2 separate regions of the Mus musculus genome follow, and region 2 is reported to be linked to region 1. The links are microRNA targets in miRTarBase. Many come from high-throughput screens and were not tested one by one. Region 1 holds a microRNA gene; the other region holds the end of a gene's coding sequence.

Region 1 (5,074 bases):
TCGTCTACTAAGTAACTAGTAATTCTTTTTCTTTCTCTAGGATTATATGAAATAAATTTGAATTATTTTGTAGTATTCTCTTCTTTTAAACCCCTCGGTTTTTCTTTCTCATTTTTTTTTTTAATTTTTTGGTTAAAAAAAATCTATTTCTCTTAAATCTCACACCTCTGAGGGTTTCAGTCGGCCAACTAGGCCTCAGTTCTGGTTTTCCCTCCTGACTGCCCCTGGCACAGGGTAGGGGAAGGAGGGACACTCCAGGACCCTCAGTCCTTAGTCCCAAAGCTGCTTCCTTTCTGGTTAATCCCTTCCTTTGTTTGGCTCTGCCGGCTCCCCTGAGGGGGAGGGGGAGGGGAGCCCACAGAATGAAATCCAATCTACTGGTGGGGGCCCCAGAAGGGACCAACTCCCTATCCCCTCTCCACCATCCACCCCAGGATGCTCCCCCAAGAAAAGCAAATGACATTTCTCCCCAAAAAGAAGTGGGGGAAAAAAAAGAACATAAACCCGAACATATATTAAAAACTTTTTTTAAGATTTAACTCTGAATACAAATGTATTTTTTTTCTTCTCTCCCTACATATATTCTAAACCTTCTAAAGTTTTTTTTTTTAAGGATCACTTTATCATAAAATAAAATATCCTTTTCATATAATAAATTACCTAATAAAAAGTCTTTTTTTCATATTAGCCCAGGTTCTTTGCTACATTTATACGGTAATAAATGCCTTTATTAAAATAGAATATTAAATTATAAAGAACTGCTTTTTTTTCTTTTTTTGCTATTTTTGTTTCCTCTCCTCTGTTGGTCGCCCATCTCACTCCCCCATTGCTTTGTTTTGCTGCTCGCTCACTTTTGCGCTTGTTTCTAGGAAAGGCTCACTCAGCAAGGGTGGGATTGGATCTGTGGAGCCCCTAGTGTAACAGTCTTTTGCCTTTGTGGGTAAGGAGTGGAGAGGGGGAGGGGACTGACAGACAGACATCCCTTCTTCCCACCCCCCTCCCATCCCCTGCCCCTGGGCAACCCAGGGTGCCCATTTGGTTTGGTTTCTATTGTACAGACATCTCAAGATGGCTCACATTGATGGAAAGGAGGGAAGCTGCCACAGGCCAGTTTTCTGGGCTGTGACCTCCTTCCTCTCCCCTCCCAGGCTGGTGGTCTGGAGGGGAAGGCTGAGGAGAGGCAAGTTAATTCACAAGAGGCAGGAGAGAGAGAGACCTCCCTCTGCCCTCATCCCACATCCTTTCCCCATCCAGGAAGAGTGGGACTCCTGAGCTAGAGCTCAGAATATCCCACCCAATTATATACAAGCATCTCCTGGGCCTCCTGGTCACCCATCCTCTCCTGGCCCGACCAGCGGAACCCGGGAGAGTAGGAGGCTGCTGACAGACACAAGTGAGCAAGAGGAGTAGTGAAGGGGTGCTAGACCTATCACAATACCTGATTCCTGTAACAGGCTCCACCGCACCCCAATCCTGCTTTGCCCTGGCCTGACCCCTCACCAAAGATCTGGCCTCTCTCCTCAGCCAGTGGGTAAGACAGAGAATTCATGATTTGTGGCTAATAAGGACTCAATAATGGTTCAGCTAGGTGCAGAGAGAGGTCGGGGGTAGGCCACTGCAGGTGAGGGGGAGGGGAGCCCGTCCAGACACATCTCTCTTGCCCCAGGACTTTTCCTACTTTTGGCTTTCCCTTGCCTTGGGCAGAAGACCCAGGATAAGATGCTCCCTAAGTATAATGCCCATAGATGATAAAGGCAGGGTTCCAACCTTTCATGTACCCCATTACTAGTTTCCCGTCTCAAACTGATTCTTTGGAGGAGTGGGGGAAAAGGGCTGTCCTCTACATGAAGAGGAACTGGAGGTGGGGGCTATCAAAACACTCTCCAGACTTCTCTCCCAAGAAAATGATATCCCCAAAGCTGGGCTAGAAGAGGTAAGAGGATGGAAAGAAACATGTGGCTGGGGGCTGAGGGAGAGGGGGACAGAATAGGGAAAACAACAACAACAACAACAGAAACCAAAGGGCAGATCCAGAAACAAACAAACAAAAAAAAATTGGGGGAAAAGCCAAGCAAACAATTGAAGGGGGAAGAGAAGCCCCTTTCCAGATCTCTAGCCCAGCTTTGTAAGATGGGTAAGTTGTGAGCCCTTTATCGACATCCTCCATCACCCTGGAAGATCTATGCAGATCTTTAATAGGCCCCCATCTCCCTATACTGTTGGGAACTCAGGATATGAGTGAGTGAGTGAGTGTGTGTGTGTGTGTGTGTGTGTGTGTGTGTGTGGGCTAAAGGGTCATGTTAGGAGATGGGAGGTCAGGACCAGAGGGCTAGCGAATCAGGAAGAGCACCTCTAACTACAGATGGCAAGTCTCCCTGTTCTTACCCCTCCAGAGAAGGGGCAAAATGACATGTGGATAGGGAGAAGGGAAAGGTCAGGATGTGTGTCCTGGTGGCCACTTCTGGCTAAACAAAAGCTTCTCTTAGCTGCTTCCAGATTTAAGGGTGTGTTGAGGTATCAGAGTTGTAACTCTAGTAAAACTTATGGCCCCTCCCAAAGGGTAACCAGAGGCTCTGAAAATGGCCCCGCCCCCAGCCACTCAGGCCTCCTTGTCCCCACCCCAGCGAGTGAATATTTCCAAGCACCTTGCCCTGTAGTCACTGATTTTTCAAAAAGCCCTACAGGTCCAGGGCAGCACCCGAGGGAGCGGGCCCAGGAGACCAGGGACATGGAGCTTAGGAAAATATTCGGATGGCTTGTGTGGCGGTGATGTGGCAGACAGGACACTCTGGGTCCGTCCTCTCGCAGATGCGTACTGCACACTCCATGCAGAAAAGGTTGTGTCCACAGGGCACCAGGGCTGCTGTCACTTCACTCTCAAAGCACACCATGCAGTCCCGCCCGCTGCCGGGGCTCCGCAGCCCGCCTGTCCCCAGTTTAGAGAAACCCTGCAGTGGCTCTCCGGGTGGCCTCCGAGGGAGCCCGGTCAGCTGCTCTGGCCCCGCAGAGGTGGCAGGAGAGCGATGCGCGCCTGGGGGGCCCGCGCGTGCCTTGGCTGAAGAGGAGGAGGAGGAGGCAGAGGAGAAGAGCACCGAGGTGGGCGTGGCATTCTCCTGACCCGCCCACAGCGGGGGGCTTGTCTCTGCCACGCCATAGTACACGTCCTGCTTGCCCACACCGTAGCCCGGAAACAGATATCCGCTGTAGCCAAAGTCCCCGCCCTGCTCGCTTAGGCGCGGGGCCTCAAAGGCCGAGTCCACGCCGCATTCGCCTATGCAGCCCAGGCTGTTCTGCCTGAAGGTGGAGAGCGGCTTACAGCCTGGAGCATGCACCCGCCAGGCGTCTGAGTAGCGGCTGTCCAAGGCAGCGTCAGGGCTGCCAGCCAGGAAGTCGCCGTCGCTGTTGTATTCAAGAATCTTGCCGGTGCGCACAGCGATGTGCGTCTCGATCTCCTCCCGCGCACGCTCCACGTTGCCCGGTGCGCCGGTTATCTCAAACACGGGGTCGCGGTCCCGGCTGGGAGTGATGATGTACGTGTTGGTCTGCTGCTGGATGCGTTTGATGGTCGCTCCCTTGGGGCCCACCACCAGTCCCACCACGCGGTAGGGTACTCGTACACGGATGGTCACTTGGCCTGGCAGAGCAGGGGCCACGCCAAAGGCGGCGCCAGACTTGTTGCGTGAGGCTCTTATCATGGAGAAGTGCTCAGCTGCAGAGATGATCTCCCGCCGGGCTGTGGCCACGTCTTCCCGCCTCCCAGTCACCATGAACACTGGCTCCTCACCTCGCACAGGTGTCTTGATGTAGGTGTTGGTTTTGGCCCTCAGAGCCTTAATCTTGCAGCCTGGACAGAGTGGGGAAAAATTTTACAGGACAAAGGAGTTTGTACCTTCCCCCAGAATCCCAGCTTCCCGAAAATCCTTCAGTTGATCCAGTGACACCTTCAAGACCACAAATACAACCTACCCCCCAATTTGACCAATTGAATGCACTAGTTTGTCCTGTGTTCCATTTGGGGCCTTCCAGATACACTCCTCTGAGACCCCCCTCCTTCAGAGCCTTTGAGAGAAGAAGCGGCTAACTCAAAACCTCACAAACTCTTCCCTTAGCACCTGCCGGCACGTCCACTCCCTCCATCTCACCTTCCTCTCAGTGACTGCTCATGGTCTTTGCTCAAAGCTCCAATGCACTCATTAACCCAGTCTACTCATGTGACTTCCATTCATTAAAAGAGTCTGTCCTCTAGCTCACCCAGGGACATTGGCTACTGTGTGCTGCGACCTCCCCAGGCCCTCCTAGCATCCCTAGAAGTAGAGACCAAAATCAGAGAAACACTAAACCAGGGGCAGCAGGAGGGAGGTGGGGAGACCACATAATCTCTGTGCTTCTCCACACCATAAAGCATTAGCAGCCCCTGATTCAGTGTGGGGGGTGGGGGTGGGGCTCAAGGGGTCAGAATCTCAGGGAGAAGTAGGAAGACAGTATCATCCAGAGGACCTAAGGCCTGTCCTCTTGTCCTCTTGTCCTCTTGTCCTCCCTGCCTGACGCCCAGGGCAGGACTGAGATGTCCTGGAGGTTGAGGAGAGGGGAACTGAGCATTTCTGGACCCCAGCTCCTGCTTTGAAGGAGGATCAGGTTAGAGCTGGGAGGCTGGGAGAGGCAGGAAGAGAAAGAAAAGCGAGACAAAGAGAAGAGGAGGGGGAAAGCAGGAATGCCCGTCAGAAAAGTCTGCAGACCTCAGGCTGGGTGGACTTGCCTGGCTTTACAGAGCCTCTGTGTCTTAGCCCTCCTTCAGAGTTCAGGGGCCTTGGGGCCTAAGGCAATGAGAGTGCCTTCATCCAAGCAATACTGTAGGGTGGAGCAGAACACCTCTTCACATGTCCACAGGCTCTCTCCATCTCACTTTAGCCCAGCGCACAGACTGTACATTAGTACACACCCACACCTTTGCCCCACTCTCACAGGCAGAATCCCTGAGTTCCTCAGGCACATCTCAGTGCTGCGTGCCCTTCCTCATGTACCCATCCAAAGCCATAAGGCTGCTCCTGTAACTGCCCCAATTGCAGGCCTCTGG
Region 2 (5,074 bases), not on the chromosome of region 1:
ATTCACTTCGTTGACCGGGAGCAGGGCTGTTTTCTTCATGGGTGGTGATTGGCATTTTTGGGTGGGACAAGTTATTGTTTGGACCCCTCCCACAGTGAGGGCTGCGGCATTCTTAATCCTCTGGGTGTCATGGGAACCAAGATACCCGGTAGTTTTTCCAGGGTTCCCTATGAGGGCCATCTTCCTAGGGGACCAAGGTAGCTCTCCTATGTATGTCAGCGCCTTTCCTTTATTGTTTTTCAGTTATTTTCTAGGCTAAATTACATGATTATATTTGCTAATACAATTCTCTTTTCTGCAGGTTGATTTTCCACGGAATCTTGCCAAATCTGTAACAGTAGAGTAACAGACACCTGAAACTTAAGACAGTTAAGCAACACGAGATACCTTTTGTATTTAAATTTTTGATTTAAACTATTGCCTCCTGAAAGCCTTTTTTTAGTAAATCTTATTTATATATCAGTTATAATTATTCCACTCAACTAATGATTTTTGTGCAATTGTCTCATTTTCAATAATACATGGGGGAATTTGATTCATAGAATTTAAGTCTAAACCTAAAATCAGAGAGATCTCAGCTGTATTTTGTTCAGAGAACTGGATAATGGATTTCTGGGCCCTCCATTTCATAGAGGAGGCTTGGTGAGTGTCAAGGCGCTTGGTGTTTGCTTCAGCATAACGTGATTCGGTCAGTCAGACTGAGGGAAGACCAGTGCATTGAATTGGATACTCCAAGTCAGTGTGTGCCAGTGCCTGGACAGCCACCAAAGGCTTTGCTGCGCTACTTATAAATAGAAGATGCTGCAGTTTATGTTGAAGCTTATTTCTGTTTTGTTTTTAAATCAAACTGTACACCAAAAAACTTGGTGAGATTTTTATCTTAGTTTAGTTAAATTAGTTCAAACATGTCTGTCATCTCTGTAGACAGTGCGTTTGGGTCCTCCACACCTGCAGAGAAGACCTTGTGGAGTTTGGAAAACTTGTGCTGTTAGACATTGATATGTGGCTGGACATTTGAAGATAGGACACAGGGATCCACTCCTTATTTCTTCATCTCTTAAGAGTAGTTGGCATTTTCTCGCAACTGTAGAGCTTAACTGAAAAGCAAGTACTGTTTGTTGAGTGACGTACTTTGTAGCTGCCTTTGGCATCATAGCACAGAGTTGCTGTCAAGCCTCAAATTGGTGTCAGGGTGCTCAATTCTCTCTTCAGCTTTGTCCCAAGAAGAGTTTCCTGCAGTTACCTTTACTTCCTCCCCTGCCTTGTTGCAGAAAGCATCCCTTGGTGCCAGTGTAGAAGTTCTGCTTGGGGGGTGGCAGGCCTTGCTGCTCATTTGACCCTCAGTGTATGTGGCAGGCTCAGCTGAGAACGGCACATACTTGGCACTGTGGAGTGACGTCAGTTTCAGGGTTGTTTTCTCGATGTTTTCCTTGGGACTGTTTTGACTCCTGTTGAGGAGTGAATGCAGTATAAATACGTGAGACTGTCATGCCTTCAGCTGATTGTGTCAGAAATGCAGGTCAGCAAGTTGGATAAAATATTTAAAATAGAACATTAGTTTGACACCCCAAAAATGTGCAGAGTAATTTCTTCACAGAGCTATTTGGGTCAGATTGTGTGGGCAGTGGGCAGGTGTGTGTGTTCAAGTTAGGTCCATTGTTTTCAAAAGCTTTCACCTGTACACGGTGAAAGCGCAGTGCTTCACGGAGTCATGCTTTGTGTTTGAACTTAGTGGTAAGCAGTTAACACTTGTGAAGGTGAGTTGAAGAAAAAGTTGATGTCACTTTAGGCATTTCAGAAGGCTTCATTCACACTGATGGAGGCTGGAAACCTGATTTTGATAACCCAAGACAGGGCCACAGTTTGTACTCCATGTCACTGCTTTGGGTACGTTTCTCTGTTGTATTTGTCCCTAAGACTTCATGTTAGTGGAGCATGTGTGTAAGGTCATTTCTTAGGCCTGATGTGGTAGCACAGCTGCTCGTGTTTGGGTGTGGCTTTTGTTTGGTGTGTGGCTCTGGAGCACAGGGTGATGTTGGTGTGTTGAGACACTGAAACTGGGAGACGATCAGCTCAGTGCTGTCTGGTCACTCACTGTCAGCTCAGTCACTACCCCGGGGTCCTGTTGGAGCAGTTTTGGATTATACAGCTCAGTCTTGCTAACCACCCTCCGTGCAGCGGAACGTCACAACTCTTTTTGTCTTCTGTCTATGATATTGAACCCATTTACCAGTTTCTCATCCATACACACTCCAAGCTAGAATAAATACTAAACCAGTCAGAAACCCAGATGAGGACCAGGGTAGTACTGTCTAAACAAATATTATTGTTTTCCATATCCCATTTTGCTTTCTACCTAAATTCTTTTATTAGTTCTTAATACCCAGATATTTTAGCAAGGCAAGGCACTAGGTGAGTAGGTCCCACTAATTTGGTATAATACAGGACATAGAAATCTAATTTTTCAAAACAAAAATACCCTGTAAAAGGGAGGCTTTCTATTAAAATTCTCCCCCCCCCCTACCCCCAGCTCCCTGTTTTTCAAGACAGGGTTTCTCTGTGCAGTCCTGGCTGAACTGGAACTCACTCTGTAGATTAGGCTGGCCTCGAACTCACAGAGATCTCCCTACCTCTGCCTCCAGAGTGCTGTCATTAAATTCTAATCTATCTATCTATCTTTCTTTCTTTCTAAAAAGTAATTATTTTATTTGTTTACATTTCAAATGTCCTCCTTCCTGGTTTCCCCTCCATGAACCTCCCACCCCATCCCCCTCCTTTTTGCCTCTAAGAGGGTGCTCCCCACCCCCTCCGCACCCCCTAGCATCTCCCTTCTCTGGGGCATCAGGCCGCCACAGGACCGAGCACATTTATAGTGTGTTTAAGTTCACACACACATCTTTACCTGGGAGTCCTTGCTAGGCAGGGAGGACTGAGGCACCTGACACATGGCCCACTTGATGGTTACTACTTTCTAAAAAAGAGAATCTATGCCGTAAGATAGAAAGGTTAGAAGGTGAGCCACTCACTCTTAGCCTGTGACTGGCTCGGCGGCTGTGTATGAGCGGCTGCCATGCTGGGCAGCAGAGCTAGACCCTCAGAGCAATTGTGACTGTCCCTGGTGGACCTGGTCCTTGTGAGGCTCAGGAGGGAGGGTGGAAAGGTGGAGCTGTGCTGAGGTATTAAATGCTGGGCCTGGGTTCGTTTGACATGTTCATAAGCAGCTGCCCCGGCCTGTCCGTGGAACAGGGGACTATAAAGAACAGCAGTTAGTAATATGGCAAGCAGTTGTGTGTCCCTGCTCAGCAGAGTGATGTCACAGGGTACTGTGCAGAAGGCTGTTAGTTCAGAACACCAACATCAGCTTTTTAATAGCAGGCTGTTTCTGAAGTGACAGGTGGTAACCCTTTCAGTCCAGGCCTCTTGCCTCAGTGGTTCTGAAGGTGGGAGGAAAGGAGGCTGGACTTGGTCCCATGTAGAGGGAAACTAACACTTTCACAACACACCTTCAGTCTTTGGGGTTACTCTTTTATCTTTTTTTATAATTAGGATATTCTAGAGCAATAAAAGAGACTAAGGTTACCTGTTTATTATATACATTAACTGGTATGAGTTTTCTAAAAAAAAATAATAAAGCACAATGTCATTGGAAAATGTTTGTTTAAAAAAAGAATTCATAATTTACAACTTGGGAAGGCCAAAGACATGGAAGGGAAAGGTAAAGACATTTTGATTTATGACATCCACATTTTGATTTATGACAACCCATAGTGGGTTGTGTGTACAGTAATACTACGCAGGGTTTTAAGCTTGGAGACATTTCACATGGCTTTTATTTAGTTTCACATTCAAAAGTTTTAACATAAATTGGACTTTTTCACTGTACTTAAAGATTGTTAATAAGTATTTCAGTATCTTCATAGCTAGAATTTATTTAAACATATCCTCAGATCTGGGATGATAACAGATAATAAAACTGACAGCATTGGCTTTGAATAGTAATGTCCATAGTTTTAAGCAAGACTGCTAAGTTGTGTTGTGTTGACTGTAAGTCCGTACGCTCAGTAGTGATGTTCTGAAGGCTGATGATGGCATCAGAGGAAACGTCACCTTATCTTGTTTCTGCACTAGTTTCCAGAGAGTGTAGAAATGGTCTTGCTAATTTTTGAATGTTCTTTGGTTGAATGTGTTTTTCCATTAATAACATTTTTATATTTGTTTAAATTATACTTCTGTGGGACTGGGGGTTAGAATAATCATTGCTCTGTTTTGATTTTGTATTCTTTTAAATGAATGTTTAGTTTTCTGAGCCAGATGGTTATTTCATCCTTGTGTCCTGTTCAATCCAGTGACTACACCGGAACTGTGAATAAATTACCCAAAACCTTGCTGTGTGACTTTTTCTTTTTTTGGTTGGGCTTGGGACAGCACCCCGGGCCTTACACATTAGGTCACAATCGTAGCAGTTCATTTTGAAGGATTTACTAGCGTTTGAAACACACATGTGCATGTAGCATTTTAAAGTTGGTGCTGGCTAAAGAATAGAGTCAGTGTTTTGCTTTCATTGTTGGTAAACATTGCCGGCTTCTCAGCCCTGTTGCTTTAAAGAATGAATGGTTGTGCGCATATCCAGAGCCAGTACCCCAGCTTCCTAGCAGTTTTACGAAGAATCATTAGATAAAACTCTGATGTTATGTATGCTACACTAAGCTCCGATGTCACTTGTTCTGCACTTTCTCATAGCACTTTACATTAAAAATGATTTGTTATCAGGTTTCTGGAAGGGTGACCAGAAAGCTGAAAGTGCATTGATAGCTAGGAGAAAGGGGAGTGTGAGTGGGTTGAGGGTGCGGTCAAGCTGGCCTGGCACGTGGCCTGTCGTAGATAGGATGTCCTTTAGAGCTAGAAGCAGCAGCTCCACCTGATGTGTCCATGCTGGCTGGCAGGAGGCTGCAGCTTGGCTGCTCTCGCCTCAGCTTTTCCTCCTGTGCTCTGTGCTATAAGGATCATGCAGCCCCCCCCCCCCACCCCACCACCATGGTTTTGATATAAAGCAATTTAAATTTGCCTCAGTTGC

The links. The annotated mature microRNA mmu-miR-1905 reads CACCAGUCCCACCACGCGGUAG and lies in region 1 at 3,585-3,606, shown strand. An mRNA with a match to its seed (bases 2 to 7 or 8) in the 3' UTR can be bound and repressed. Matches are read on the target gene's strand: a 7mer-m8 pairs with bases 2 to 8, a 7mer-A1 pairs with bases 2 to 7 and ends in A, and an 8mer does both.
Region 2: the mRNA of Gfpt1 is a reported target of mmu-miR-1905. Seed matches in the 3' UTR shown: 7mer-A1 at 3,600-3,606.

What each region holds. Positions count from the first base shown.
Region 1 is chr3:88,534,843-88,539,916 of GRCm38, reverse strand. Mir1905 (microRNA 1905) reads left to right here and starts at 3,535; the gene lies at 3,535-3,616. It overlaps Mex3a (mex3 RNA binding family member A), which reads right to left. Exons shown (of 2, transcript NM_001029890.3): 2 at 1-3,844. The coding sequence ends at 2,736.
Region 2 is chr6:87,087,813-87,092,886 of GRCm38, forward strand. Gfpt1 (glutamine fructose-6-phosphate transaminase 1) reads left to right here. Exons shown (of 19, transcript NM_013528.3): 19 at 302-4,395. The coding sequence ends at 346. Among named protein-coding and RNA genes, the nearest start is that of D6Ertd527e, 14 kb to the right of the region's middle.